3 linked regions of the Danio rerio genome follow. The protein of the gene in region 1 purifies or fractionates together with the protein of each later gene. This does not show direct contact. Links are inferred from orthologs where the notes say so. Each region holds a gene or a part of one and is shown on either strand. Other genes may lie near its edges.

The links. Proteins that work in one complex are often made in the same cells at the same time.
Region 2: the proteins of polr2l (region 1) and si:ch211-140b10.6 purify together in Homo sapiens (affinity purification with mass spectrometry; 4 studies listed by BioGRID and IntAct, with this or other methods). This does not show direct contact. The link is inferred for Danio rerio from reciprocal best matches to the Homo sapiens genes POLR2L and POLR1D.
Region 3: the proteins of polr2l (region 1) and polr3k purify together in Homo sapiens (affinity purification with mass spectrometry; 3 studies listed by BioGRID and IntAct, with this or other methods). This does not show direct contact. The link is inferred for Danio rerio from reciprocal best matches to the Homo sapiens genes POLR2L and POLR3K.

Annotation. Positions count from the first base shown.
Region 1 is NC_133182.1:13,340,922-13,345,833, forward strand, and holds the start of polr2l (DNA-directed RNA polymerases I, II, and III subunit RPABC5), read right to left. Parts: upstream 3,439-4,912; 5' UTR 3,365-3,438; intron 3,071-3,364; 5' UTR 3,054-3,070; coding exon 2,959-3,053; intron 1-2,958. UniProt on the Homo sapiens protein: DNA-dependent RNA polymerase catalyzes the transcription of DNA into RNA using the four ribonucleoside triphosphates as substrates.
Region 2 is NC_133199.1:25,555,919-25,560,850, reverse strand, and holds the start of si:ch211-140b10.6 (protein POLR1D-like), read right to left. Parts: upstream 3,164-4,932; 5' UTR 3,077-3,163; coding exon 3,054-3,076; intron 2,761-3,053; coding exon 2,686-2,760; intron 398-2,685; coding exon 22-397; 3' UTR 1-21.
Region 3 is NC_133178.1:45,546,416-45,551,454, reverse strand, and holds the start of polr3k (DNA-directed RNA polymerase III subunit RPC10), read right to left. Parts: upstream 3,164-5,039; 5' UTR 3,039-3,163; coding exon 2,928-3,038; intron 1,167-2,927; coding exon 1,079-1,166; intron 1-1,078. Other genes in the region: snrnp25 (U11/U12 small nuclear ribonucleoprotein 25 kDa protein), read left to right, coding at 3,583-3,774, 4,551-4,641, 4,791-4,896. UniProt on the Homo sapiens protein: Core component of RNA polymerase III (Pol III) which synthesizes small non-coding RNAs using the four ribonucleoside triphosphates as substrates. Can mediate Pol I proofreading of the nascent RNA transcript.

The DNA.
Region 1 (4,912 bases):
ATCGGAGAAAATCAAAACCAGCTGATCAGCTCTCAGAGCATAGTTAACATAGTAAGTGTATTTATGCATGCACTTTTATAATTAGTTGTTTTTCTCCACAGAATTCCATATAAAAGCCAGAAACTTCTGTTGCACAAGCCTATCTAAAGGGTTAATGCTGCCAACTGATGATCATCGGCAAAAATTATCTCTTCCCAATAGGGAAAACCTCCAACAATCAAGAATGCATGATTATATGGTGTCATGAATTTGCAATCATAAAAATGTCATTACAATGGAAGTAAATTGGGTAAAAACAGCCAGCAACATAATGAAAGGGTAGTCAATTTGCCCAGAGTGTAATTGTTAAACGTCTTAAAACTTTTCAAAGCATTTTCCCAAAATGCGTGTCAAAATAAGATTTGTCTCCAAAAATAATTCAATTTGCTGAAACAGAGAAAGTTGGGGCGTAATTAAGCTTTAAAATCACCCAAAGCAGATGAAAACATCTCCTGCAGCACAAGGTTTAAAGGATAATATGCATCTAGCCAGTTGTTCATGAAAAACAAAATCTATTTTTTAAAGGGTCACAAAACACCAAAACACATTTTTTGAGCTGTTGACAGTCATATAAGTGTCCCACACTGCTAAAAACACTATTAAGACACATATATCTCACTAAAAAGTGAAAATTGGTTGTTTTTGCGTTATTTCTAGCTAATTCGTACTTCCGGTTTGTAACAATTTTTTTAAGCTGCGTCACGGCCATGAGATCTTAGCGTGTATTCCAGCGTGTAGACTGGACGTCTGTACCTGGGAGTGTCTTATTACGTCTATAAGTGTGCTGCATTAATGCACGAGTAAGATTCGGTTCAAACCAATCAGCGCACTCTATTGTGCAACTTCACTAACATTCATTAATGTTACAGTGTTCAGACAGCAGAGACGCCACATTATGTTGGCAAAACAAGCGTGAAGGGTTGCTTTTATAATTTGCTGCAGTGAAGGTTTTGTTTTCATTTTCTCTGTATGAGCGCACAGCTGGACCACGTGTGGATTACAGTGCATGCGACAACAATGCATGTCTAAGGAACTTTTTTTTTTTTTTACCCGAGAACTTTTCTCATCTGGAAATGGTGAGATCCGGATTTGCCGCTCGTCTCCTCTTAATAAAGACGCGGCTCTAGTTGGTGTTGTTTGTCCTGTCTCTACAGATTTGATAAGGGAGCGAACAGTGCCCTTTGCTTTTTCAGATGGCAAAGTTAGTTTGTATCGAACTAACTGTTACACGGAGTGTGAACATGTTAGCACCACAATCAAACTTACCATCGTGTAGGATTTTCACTGCATTTTGTGACAGGAGTAACACACACGACTTTCTGACCCTACCTGCCGAGTGCATCTAAGTTATTGAGAAATTCAGAGGTTTTTTTTCCCTCATTTGCTGTGCCGTATCAAACATTGCATGAAAGATACAAGCTTAGAGCAGTTCCTCAAATCAAATACCTCGTTTGTCACGAGGGGCATGAAGATATTCCCTGAATAAAAGAGCCAAACTGCAGTTAATGTCCACCATTTAATAATTTGTCAAATAATTTGATTACTGATGTCCACGTAAACACAGTCAGTCTTTCTCCCCTGTGTGTGTGTGTGTGTGTGTGTTTTGACTCTGAAAATCAGCACGTGCCCAAAATGACACTCCCATTTTTATGCAAATTTTTACAGAACCCTCTTTAATTTGCTCCTCCGACACTCCCTCCTAAACAGAGCTGGACACGCCCACTTTCCTGACTTTTTCCAAAGTAGAGGTGTGAAAACACCCTCTGAAACAAGGAGGTTTCATGGCCCTATAAGACTGAATGGCTTTTTTGCATAGCCAATTGTAAGTACATTATCTTACTTATAACATGGCAACTTGCCACAAAAGAAAAAAATCAGACAAAATAATGATCTGAGCCATAATAATTAACTAGCAGCACTTTTTTTTTAAATGAAATTTAGTGCTGTGGGAATTACTTAAATAACAAGGTGCTTTTCTATGTGCCTGTATGACCAAAGATTAGAATTCTAATTAGAAAGATGAGCAGTCTTTATTGTCCACACATGTGGAAATTCATATTTGGCCTCACAAAATGTTACTAAACATCATATGGCTTCCTACACCATGGATTACCAACACACAACCCTGTTTCTAAAACCACAAACAGATTCACAGTGTCACAGAACAACATATAAACTACTTCATGGTCATTTGTTCAATATAGTCATAGCTGATGTATAAAAGATTTCCTTAAAAATGTTTGTTTTAGCTGCAGGTGTTTTTCAATTATAAGATGTATTTCACATAGTGCTGGGGGAAAATTAATCGTGATTAATCGCATAAAAAAATGTTTTTTTTTTTTTTACATAATACGTGTGTGTATTGTGTATGCTTATTATGGACATATAAACATAAAGATGCATACATTTAAGGAAATAATTATTTATATTTACATATAAAATATATATGATGCAAATAATAAATTTTAAATATCTATGCAAAATCTATACCTTTATGCATGAGTGTATTTCACATACACAATAATTATATAAATATATATAATGCACAAGTATTGCTTATGTCAAAACAAACTTTTATTTTGGATGTGGCTAATCACAATTAATCTTTAACTTAGAGTCGTTTTTCAGGTTTTTAATAAATCTGTTTAAATTCAGTTTGGTTTGATGCTTGTATGTAAGGCCAATGCTGGCTTTATTTTGTTAATAATAATAGTAATCTGTATAATAACATTAATCATATTAATCTGGCAAAATTCGTGCTGCCAGTCAACCGGTCCGCATGAGCACCCCAAACACAATATTTTGACTAAAGTTAGTAAAGAGGACTAGTAAGGAGTGCTTTACTCCTTAGCCAAACAAACAAATAAATAAATAAATAAACAAACGAATTTAGGACACATTTTAGTTTCATAAACGTACCCTTCTGTATACTCCGCTTGAAGGAGACCCAAATACGCCTCCCATTTGTTCCCAACAATTTTCCCACAAGTGAAGCAGCGAACAGGGATGATCATGATGAAGGACGAGTTGCCTGAATTGAAAAAAAAATGTAGAGGTTTATTTAATAACACACAAGTTTGTGCAATTCAGACTGCGTAATAACGAATACAAGTAACACAAAACTCAGTAACTTAATAGATGTTGAGCTATAAATGTACACAAGAATGTAACACTGAAGCAGTCTACAGCAACATACAGTAACACTGAATACGTGACAGTGCGGTTCAGCTCGAGATTATTTCCTTATATGCGAACTCAAAACTAAACCCCAAATATTACACCCTCTCATTTTGACTAAAGAAGCGAGCAAATTAGAAAACATTACCAAAACAATCTCGCACGCTACACACGTTCCTCTTGCGCGGCTTATAACAGATAGACTTCCGTGTTGCGTCTTTCTAACACGCTCGGGTGAAAACAAGGTTATAGGAAACGTTCCGTGAAGCGAAATGAGCAACATACGAAAACTTTCTTCTTCTTTTGTTTTAGTGGCGGGCTGGTGTTGAGAAAACTCCTTCAAAATGTGTGAGGTATAATCTTTAAAAAGTAAAAGTAAGTAAGCAAGAAAATATTTATTTATGTAGCACCTTTCCTAGACGTTGAGTAACAAATAGCTTTACAATTAGAGAAAACAAGTAAAAGAACACATATCAATAAAAGAAAACATGTTAAAACACATTAAAACAAGTAAAAAATCCAAATACAGAAACACTAATACTATGAATTAAATGCTTGACCAAAACAATGCGTCTTTAAATGCTTTTTAAAAAGATCAACTGATCCCAGAGTTCTCAGTGCTATAGGGAGAGAGTTCCATAGATCTTGAATATATTGGGGTGCTTGACCATGCAAAGCTCTACATGTATAACACATATTATGCACATATAATGCTAATAGCAATATGATTATTATGTATATCCCAAAACCATCTTATATTTTAGCTTTTACAACACTTCAGAATAAGGGCGTCTTATGTACGCTGTAAAAACCAAGCAGCAACCTCCGGCTCTCCATTGGGAAGCCAATACAAAATACATAGACTCTCCTCTGGGGGCTTGCTCCAGCAACTCCACATGTTCTCTGACTGCAATGCTAAACTGGCCAATTTTACAGCTGATAAAAACATGTTTAAAGCCTGGTACAATAGATGGTTTTGGTGCTTATAGCTAATACTACTCTTCATGACAACTGTGAGGGGCTGAATTTTTTTATTACTCATCCGTTTAGCATTTATTAGGTTTAATTAAGTCTGCATAATTAAGGGAGTGGCCACTTGAGTGTCTTTTGCTGGTCACGTCACTTCACCTCAGCTGATTCCGACTGATTAGCTGCTGAACTTGGCATATACATTGTATTTTTATTATTGTTTTTTTTTGGCTTTACACAGTCATTTGTCTTTTGGAATTATTTCCTACAATTATCAGATAGTATGGCATGCTGTGTGCACTTAATTGTGCTCACAAACTGTTAAAGTGGCCTTAATTTCCCAGGTGAGTAAAATTATATATTTATATCCCATCTCTATAAATGTATTTGTTTTTTTAAGTTCATTTATTATATTCATTATAGCTGTAATGCACTCCAGAATCTGACAGATTGATTAACTGTTGGCTAACAGTCATCTGAAGCGTTGTCATACCTGTCATAGTGTTATGCCTGGATTTCATAACCAGCCTTGCGTTTAGTAATTCAAACTATATTTGAAGTGTTTGGATATAATTTGTGTTTTCCCTTCTGTAGAAAAACGTCATAAGAACATGTTTAGTGGCTCAGTGTATTAAAACAGTGTTTTAAAAGTCTAAACACTTTATTGATATATACAACCAAGCACATGTGGTCAGAACGCAAACAAGTCGCAGGTTATGAAGGTGTA
Region 2 (4,932 bases), on another chromosome or scaffold:
ATAAAAATCCCCAAAGGTGCCTCATTTTTTTCTTTTGTCAGTGTATTTTTTGACATCTGGAGAACTGTCCCTCGCTGGTGAGCGAGATCGAGTCCTATTTGACGTCCGAGAGATGGAAGGGGAGTGGCTTCGGGATGATGAATGACTGCGTGAGGAAGAGTGGCGTTTTGAAGTGTGAGAATGGGAATCAGAGTAGTGTCTTCTGTGTGAGCTGTCTTTTTTGTGTTTGCATTTTTCACAGTCTGTGTTACGATGTTTTTCACAAGCTCTGTTGTACCTATGTTCATCTCCTCCTCTTTCAGATGTGCGTGGATTTGTTGGTTGGCGCGTCAGGGCAGAGGAACGAAGAGTGTTGAGGAGAAAGCGCTTGTTTGTGCTTCCCAGTGGACATTTCATCCTAAAACAAAACGGCAATTTAAGCAGCTTTAGGAGACATATATAGTAGTTAATTACACACATACATACATACATACATACATACATACATTCCATAGATATATACACTATCGCATATGGTTCCTGAGCATGCGTCAATTGCGCCGCCACATTTGTACAGTGCTCCCAGGACATCATTCAACTGCACTAATCAAGACTAAAGCCAATGTGAAGATGCTGGACTTTAGCACTGCTTACGGGTGTAGTAACAAGCAAACAAAGAAAACCAAGCACAAAGGCAGAACATTTCATAGGTAAGATTTCGTTTTTTATGTTTTTGTATGTTACAAACTGGCACTCAATTCTAGACTTATGCTAGTTTTGTTGAATAAAATGAGATAACAATGTAAATGAAATATAACAAGAAGGTGCTGCTGTGAAAACTTGTATTATTGTCAACTAAGTGATCAAGTCCTTCTTAACAGAGATTCATTCACAAACGAATCCCTCCCTCCGTTGGAATGAAAAGTGAAAGCAGGAGAGGGGGTGTGTTTAAGGACATGAATTAGATCAAATTAAACAGGGAGGGTAGATAATACATTTCCATGCACACAATCACACACTCTTTGCCAGGAATGCCCATGCAATCATTTATCCATCAATATAGAAAAGTGATGTAAACTTATAATTTTTGTAATTTCATAAAATATTTGCATACTGACCAATGGAAAACCCCCCGATCGTAAATAAATGTGTATATGTGTATATATGGATGGCCAGTCCTCCGCTGCACCTTGAACCCACATTCATTTTAAAGAAGCGCTACCCTGTACTAAAATGGCGACTCTATCGACAAATTCCTTTCAATAGATGAAAAAAGCGTAGGCAACATCTAATGTAAATGTCTATACATACATACATACTGTACATACATCTTTTGATTTGGAGGACGATAACCAACATTTTAAACATAAATCGCGTAACCTTCACAGAGCAAATTAGCATGCAACTTGACTGTTGCATAAAAATAATAGGTTAAATGACAGAACTGTATTTAATTAACAAACAAGTTAAATACATATATTTTAATAAAATGAAAAGGAAAATGAAAGAACTAAGGACTGAAGCCAGCTCAAATGTTCTACAATTATTAGTCATTTGACACTTTTGTTACCGCACTCCCACAAGATTCTCCCGTAAAAACACCAGTAAAAACGATTACACCCAATTAAAAATAAATATTTCTTCTAGCCATTTTCCAATGAATACAGCCAATCATCTTTGGTTTATTTAAACAGAACAGTTATATGGTTCAGTCATTTAACACCTTCGAGGATAGAAAATAATACACTTACAATCAAACAAGTTTTTGCAAAAAAAAAAAAAAAAAAGTATTTTTCCCGTTTATTAATATATTATTTAATATTTTCCCCCAGTATATTAATTAAGGTGTACTGATTTTTGCACTGTGATCTTAAATAGTTTTTTTTAATTATAAGCTTGTCATAATATCTATTTTTTCTTGTATGATATATTGCACCAACATATATTATGATGAACAATATTGTCATTTTGAGACCATTTTATGCCACTTATTATATAATGCCAAAATGACAATATAATAACATCAAAATGCAAGTACACTCTTCTAAAGACCACATAATATTTTATTCTTAAGGATGTTTCATTTAATTTATAGTCATTTTAACTTTAATAATGAGGCAGGGGAATCAGCATGTGAAAACACATATCCTGAATAAATAGTAGTAAAAAGTGCAATGTAAAAAGTAACAGAGGCTGCAAGATCTGCTACCAGATCTATTTTCAGTTGTCAGACACCTGCATGAAAATATACTACAGTAACATAAAGAGGTTGCACCATCAGCTAAAATGTTGCTAGAATTGACTTTTATATATGGGCAATATATATTACATCACCAAAAATGATAGATGTCATGTCAATGTGTTGTGCGATAAGTCGATATATTGATTATTGTGAAAAGCATATTTGATTAGTCACAGTTTTGGCTTTTGTACCTTAAAATCTAAAGAGTTTGTGCAAAATGCATTACTGTAAAGCATTTTATACTACATATTAATTTAAAATACAGATCTTTAAGGGGTGTACTCAGTACTGTATATATACATACACAGGTTTAAGTTCACATCCGAAAACCAAAGTTACACCCTTGTGTGTGTGCGCGTGTGTGTAAAAGAGTGGGGGCAATAGTGGTTACTAATAATAGAAAAAGACTTCAAATTGGTCACTTTAAATATCTGTAATTTATCAATTTAGTGATCCAAACTTACCATCCAGCAGGACCCATTGTCTCGACACGGGCTTTTGCTCTGTTCGCTTCTTTAAGGAGCTCCTCCACTGCTTTTCTGGGGAAATTATTTACAGTGAGACATTTGACGACAGAAACGGGTTAATTTATGTATTACCGTGACCCCAAATTAAATAGCACGTTTAAATCTCTGACGGTGCAAAATAGACTTTTCTAGGATACCGAAATGTTTGCTATATAACAAAAGTATGGTGCTTCGTCTCAGGTTTTGGTTTACACAAATTTACTGACCAATTTGCACGAAGCCGAGGGCGTTAGCATATTCTGCATCGTAAACTAGTCCAATAAACTGGTCAAAAGGGGGAAAATTGACATTTAGAAATATCATACCTTTCCAGTTCACTGTCTTCCATGATCTAATTAACCTTAAACCGCAGTCACTGTTAATTTATAGCTTGTTCCAGCTTGCTAACCAGTAACGTTAGTGTTTACTATTCTCGAGGACCCAATTTAGGACCCCGGTCCGCTTGACCATCTTAGTTTTGACTAAATTTGCGGAAGTGAGCAGACAGTAAAATTCAAACTAAAAATGTAGAAACTATCTGCACTTGGAACAAAAAGTACGTACATTTAAACAGTCTATTTTAGTTTATTATTTGACTTAATAATAGGTTTTACGATCGCACTTTAATCAGGCATCTCGATGGTCACAACTGATATTCGACTAACAGCGCCGTCTGCAGCCTGTCAAACGAACGGTAGTGAAAAAATCAGAGTCATTTCATCAAATGGTTCATTTGAACAGCAGCTCTGAATGGAACAGTTCAACATGTTCCGACGGTTCTTTACGTCATTACATGATCCCAAAGCGCATTACATGACATAATATCTTTACAGTCTTTTTATTTATTTAACTTATGTAATTTATATTTTAGTTTATTTTATGTTATAGGTTACATTTGTAGTTTTGGATGTCATGTTTAAATTGTATATTTGCTGCTGTTTAATAATAATAAAAAAATAATAAATAAAATAATAAATAAATCAATTAATCTCTTTTTATCTTATCTAAATACATGAATGTTGACAATACTTGCACACTTATCACATCTTTTCTATAACTGTGATGTCTCTTACATTTTAGTATGATGTTAGTGACGTGTTATTTGGGCAAATACATGTTAAAAGATTGTATTTGCTCTTTACACACACACACACGCACGCACGCACGCACGCACGCACACACACACACACACACACACACACACACTCATTAGAGTATGTTGGTATGTTGTTAATTTTTACATGCTACAAGGTTAATATTTTATTCATAAACAGAAGTTTGCGAAGTGTATACCAAAATGCTATTAATTTTTATTAGAAATGGAAACTTTGAAAAAGTTTCTAATGCAAATTAATAACAAAAAAATGACTTGATGTTAGATTTCATGAAGTTTTTTTTTCTGGTACTGATCCCTCACTGTAGTCTGATTGTGTGCCAATCTTTTTTTTTTATTACTAGTTATATTTAATTTAATATTTTTACTTGTTATGTTTTTGTTTTAATATTATTTCTGGATGTGGCTTTTTGCACTTATTGTAATGGTCTTGGATATAGTTTGTGTCTGAATTTTTATTAATACATAGTGTTATGTTTTAATGCTTATAATTAAAAAAAACTTGATCAAATATCTTAATTCTAAGTCACTTGTGAGCAATAATTACTATTTAATTAATGTTTTTTTTCTTTAGATATTTATTTAAATTAAATGTATTTAAATATAAGTTTAGATTCACTAAAAACAGAAATGCATTCAGAGGAAAAAAATTATATTTGTTTTCCCAAGTTACTTATATTTGGTTGTTGTTGAGAAGTCACTGGGTGGCGCAGTGGGTTGCACGTTCACCCCACAGCAAGAAGTTTGCTGGTTCGAGCTTCAGCTGGGTCAGATGGCATTTCTGTGCGGAGTTTGCATGTTCTCTTCATGTTGCGTTTGCTCTGGGTGCTCCGGCTTCCCCCACAGTCCAAAGGCATGCTGTACAGGTGAAATGGTATGCTAAAATTAACCATAGTGAATGAGGGTGTGTGTTTTTCAGTGATGGGTTGTGGCTAGAGAAGTTGGTGGTTCATTCCGCTGTATATATATATATAAATTCATGTATTATAAGTAGTGTATTATTAGCTGTTATTGGCTGTAATAAACAGTTTTTATTTCAAGGTCCATAATTGTACCCTAAAGATAATTTGTATTTATAATAAACAGACCAA
Region 3 (5,039 bases), on another chromosome or scaffold:
TACATTGAATATAATCCACACTAGAAACATACTGCCAACATACAAATCTATACTATTAACATACCAAGCCACACTAGAAACATACTAACAACACACAAATCTATACTAAAAACATACCAAGCCACACTAGAAACATACTAACAACACACAAATCTATACTAAAAACATACCAAGCCACACTAGAAACATAGTAAAGACACACCAATCCATACTAATAACATACTAAAAATATACTAATCCACACTAGAAACATACTAACAATATACCAATCCATGGAAGAAACATAACAAACATACTCCAAATATACCAATCCATACTAAAAACATACTAACAATATACCAATTAATACAAGAAACATAAACCACACTAGAAACACACTAAAGGACACACCAATCCATACTAGATACATACTAACAAACATACTAAAAATATATTAATCCACATTTGAAACATAGTAATAATATACCAATCCATGGAAGAAAAACATAACATACTCCAAATATACCAATCCATACTAGAAACATAATAAACCACATTAAAAAACAAACCAAGGCCACACCAATTCATACCATAAAACATAATAAAAATATACTAATCCATACTAGAAACATACAAACAATATACCAATCTATACTAGAAACATACTAACGGACACACCAATCCATACTAAAACATACTAAAAATATACTAACCCACACTAAAACATACTAACAATATACCAATCTATACTAGAGACATAAACCACACTAGAAACATACTAAGGACACACAAATCCATACTAGAAACATACTAACAAACATACTAATAATATACCAATCCAGACTAGAAACATACTATAATAATCTAATCCACACTAGAAACATACTAACCATATACCAATCTATACTAAAACATACCAATCCATACTAGATACATGCTGACCTATATGTAGTTATCAATCTATGCCGACTGTTTCAAAATTCTTAAAAACTATTTCAATTAATTAAACTTTAAAACTACTTCAAACTTTCAGACTAGTCTCAGTCAATCCACCATAAGTTTGTGAGCAAACTTTACTTTTCAAGTTTCATTTGTTTACCTGCAGTGGAATCCACATTTTCCCAAGCAGCAGATCCTCCAAGAACATCATCAACCTCCTTCAGTTTGGGGTACTTTCTGTTGTTTACCTGTTAAAGCACATAAACAGGTTTGTTTTCCTATTTTTTTATCAGGTCAATGATACTGTCTATGCCTGACCATAAACCTAACCCTCATAGAAACAAGCTTCAATTGTTAGATACTAATAAAAACAAGGATGGTTCAAGGTGATTTATAAGTGTTTTTAATTTTACTGCAAGTTGCTGAGACTTATTTTAGTATGTTGAAGGACCTCAAACTGAAACTGCATATTGAGTAGGGGGCGGGGCTTTCTTTTTGCACATCATTCCCTCATCAACTAAAGGTAAGAGGGGCGTGGTTAGGAATATTGTGGATGCATCTGCCAAACTGACATCATCAGAGAAGGACTGCCACTCCAAACGCCAGAGCAAATGGTCAGACTTTGAAGATTATCAGAACAAAGATTTTTTTTTTCGGTGAATTAGCTTGCATGGATTTATCATTTACCTAAAGAATAGCATTGTGTGCTTGTAAAATAAACACTGTAAATTTGGATTTCACACAGACTTTAAAGAATATATATGCGGAATGTTGAAAAAAACTATCAATGACATAAATAGCAAAAATACTATGACAAGTGGCTCTTCTTTAATATGTCACTGTATAAATACAGTTGTTACCAGTGTCTAAAACAGCGTCATTTTGAATTCTAATCAGAGTTTGAAATTGACTTTTTCACTTAACAGCCAATTACATTTACAGACCAACTAAGCATTGAAAACTTGTATGTGTTTTGGCCATTTGTTTGCACAACAGCATTTTGGGGGATGCAAAAATGAGTTTTTAAGAGCTATCTTTTAAAAACAATGTCAGTAGTTTATAGAGGTGATTTATTTATCCAGGTTTTGTGTTATGATTCTGAAGTTAGTATTGTCATGTGCTATAATTGCATCTGTGTCTTTAAGACGGGAAACAGGTGGCATGATGGGAAGTTTTGTAATGTTACGGAGTTCATAGACACAAGAGAAGTAAAGAGTGGTGGTAAAATGTTAACCTGCGTGTGGCACTGTGGCTGATTTAATTCAGAAGTATGTGCAATTTATGAATGAACATTTGATGATAAGACACACATACATAAGTATCTATGAAGTGACATCAAATATAAACTTTTAAGTATCCAGATGTTTATCCACCTGAAGCTATAACAATATTTCTAAAAAATTTCTAAAATATTTTTAATTCCTACGTTTTCAAGATAATATAAACGAAGTTCTTGGTTTATTAAGTACATTGAGTAAGTTTATATCTTCTGTTAAACAAAAGAAGATATTTTGAAGAATGTTGCTGGGATCCATTGACTTCAATCAACTCTTATTTCCTACTATGGTAGAAAATGGGTGCCAGCATTATTCAAAATATCTTTTAATGAGAATTTATTCTAAAACTGTAAATTTTATACATAAATATAATAACGTGATGAAATAAAGAGCATTTTAAAGTACAATACAATCTTATAATCATTTAACCATTTCATTTAAGTAACTACTCAGTAACCCAGCGTTATTTATCATGCTCTGAAAGCAATGTTTGATAGAACATAAACACTCCCTCACTCAAATCTATTTTTGTTATATAATTTGTAATGTTAGAAACATTGATCTCATCAGATGTTCCTCACACGTTCTCATATTATCGAATCAAGTCATTTCTTTCGTTTCATTCGAATCGAACTTTTAAATGTCGGCGTTCCGTCGAACTTTAATGCGTTCGAATCAAACGTTCCAAACGCTTATTAGATACAAATTTCCATAACCGGTGTTATGCATTACCTTCCTCGTGATGTTGTGCACATATGGACATGTGTTACACGCGAATCTAAAGCATCGCTGTCCTTCTTCCACGATTAACACATTCCCACATGTCGGACAAAACAGGAGCATTTTCAAACAGTCATAGATTATGTTACGTAGTAAATACAGTTATAGTTTCTTTCTGATGCAACTGAAGTTGGTATTTACACACAGTCCTTTCTAAGTCGCTACAGGAAGCACATGACAATCAATGTGCCTCTGTATTATTGGCTCGCCATAAAACGAAATATAGACAAGGATGAACACTGTTTCTGTTGTATATATTAAACTTAAATATATATGAAAATGTCAACGAATATATTAATGCTGATTAAAAAATATTTTAATAGAAGATTGTTATTGTAATAAAGAATGTGAATCATAAAAAACCTATGCGGAACTAAAGTCGGGTGCATCACTGAAATATTCCGACAGCGTGTTTATAAAAATGAAATGTAAAAAGAAATGCTGGAACGGCTCAAATTGTTAAAGTTACAATTTTTAATACAATAAGCTTCTGCAAAAGGCGTACAGTTTTTTTACGAAATTGTAGTTATGTTAACTATTAACGCTTAGTGACTTTTTTATAAGTCTTGGATTTCTATACCCTCAAAACAAGACGTTTGAAGATAAAATGGACGAAATAAAGGACGAAACCGAGCTCAAAAAAGAGTTAGAGGAGAAAACTGTGGAAGATGAAATAAAAGAGGAGCACGAAGAGGAAGAAGACGAGGAGGCTCTTCCACACTCAGAAATTCTGGACATCTTTGAAGAAGGGCTGGCTCTCATAGTGCAGGACCCGCTTCTGTGTGACCTGCCCATTCAGGTGTACATGCAGTCAAGGGGCTGTTTTAAACGGACAATTCACCCAGATATTAAAATGTTCGGTTAATTGACATCCCAAGATTCTGTTCTTAAGTAGAACAGAAAATACGTTTTTTTTTTAAGTTGAGAACTATGTTTTCCTATGTACGTTATCTATATAATGGTGGTCAAGAAGCGCCATCACTTTGAGTTTAATATATTTAAAATCTTCCTCAGAGCTGTTTGTCCAGGTTGTGAATAGCTGATAATGTAGTTGTAAATACTAGAGGGTAATAGTTCCAGCTTAAAATCTTCTATATTCTACAGATTTTTTTTCAACAGTTTCTTCTCCTCTGTGTCAGTATAATGCTCACATTTATGTGCCGCGTTTGGTTGCACCTCTGACTTGCTTATTACCTCAAATGTGTCTGTGAATTGTTTCAAACTAAGGAAGTCATAGTCAGTACATAAGTGCACACCACTCGTGAACACATGCAATACACTGAGGAGAAGAAACTGTTGAGTAAAGTAGTTATTTTTGTTTTATGTGCACACAGATGTATTCTCGTAGCTTGATAATATTCTGATTGAGCCACTGTAGGCATATGATCTGTTTTGATGATGATTAATTTGTATTGTTCAGGACTTTGAACAAATTGGAAACCATTGCTGTCTAGGGAGAATGAGGGAACTCTCAGATTTCATGAACCAACCATTTAATTTACCAGTCCTAAATAAACTGTTTATTTGAATGCATTAATTATTAATCCTATATTTCTGAACCTTTGAATTTTTCAGGTCACACTGGAGGAGGTAAACTCTCAGGTGGCTCTGGAATATGGCCAGGCTATGACTGTTCGGGTTTGTAAGGCGGATGGAGAAGTCATGCGTAAGTTTTCTTATTTAATATGTCTTTGCCAGATTCCCAGTGACCCATGAGATCTTGATCTGGGAAACAGCATATGTTTCTTGACATGTTTTTTTTTTAAATGGTTGTTATTTATTAATTGATTCTGACTGGAGCCCATCTCTCCACAGCTATTGTGGTTGTGCAGTCTGCAACTGTTCTGGATCTCAAGAAAGCCATTCGCAGATATATGGAGCTGAAGCAACAGCGAGAAGGAGGTGTCAAGCACGTCAGCTGGTGAGACGTGAGAAAAATATGAAGAGTTCAGATGCAAAATCTCCAAGTGCCATCTAGAATTTTCTTTTACAATGAGCATTTTTCTCAGTCTCTTCTCTTTATGTTCAGTGATTTCATGTTATAATCGATGGAAATAAGCTATT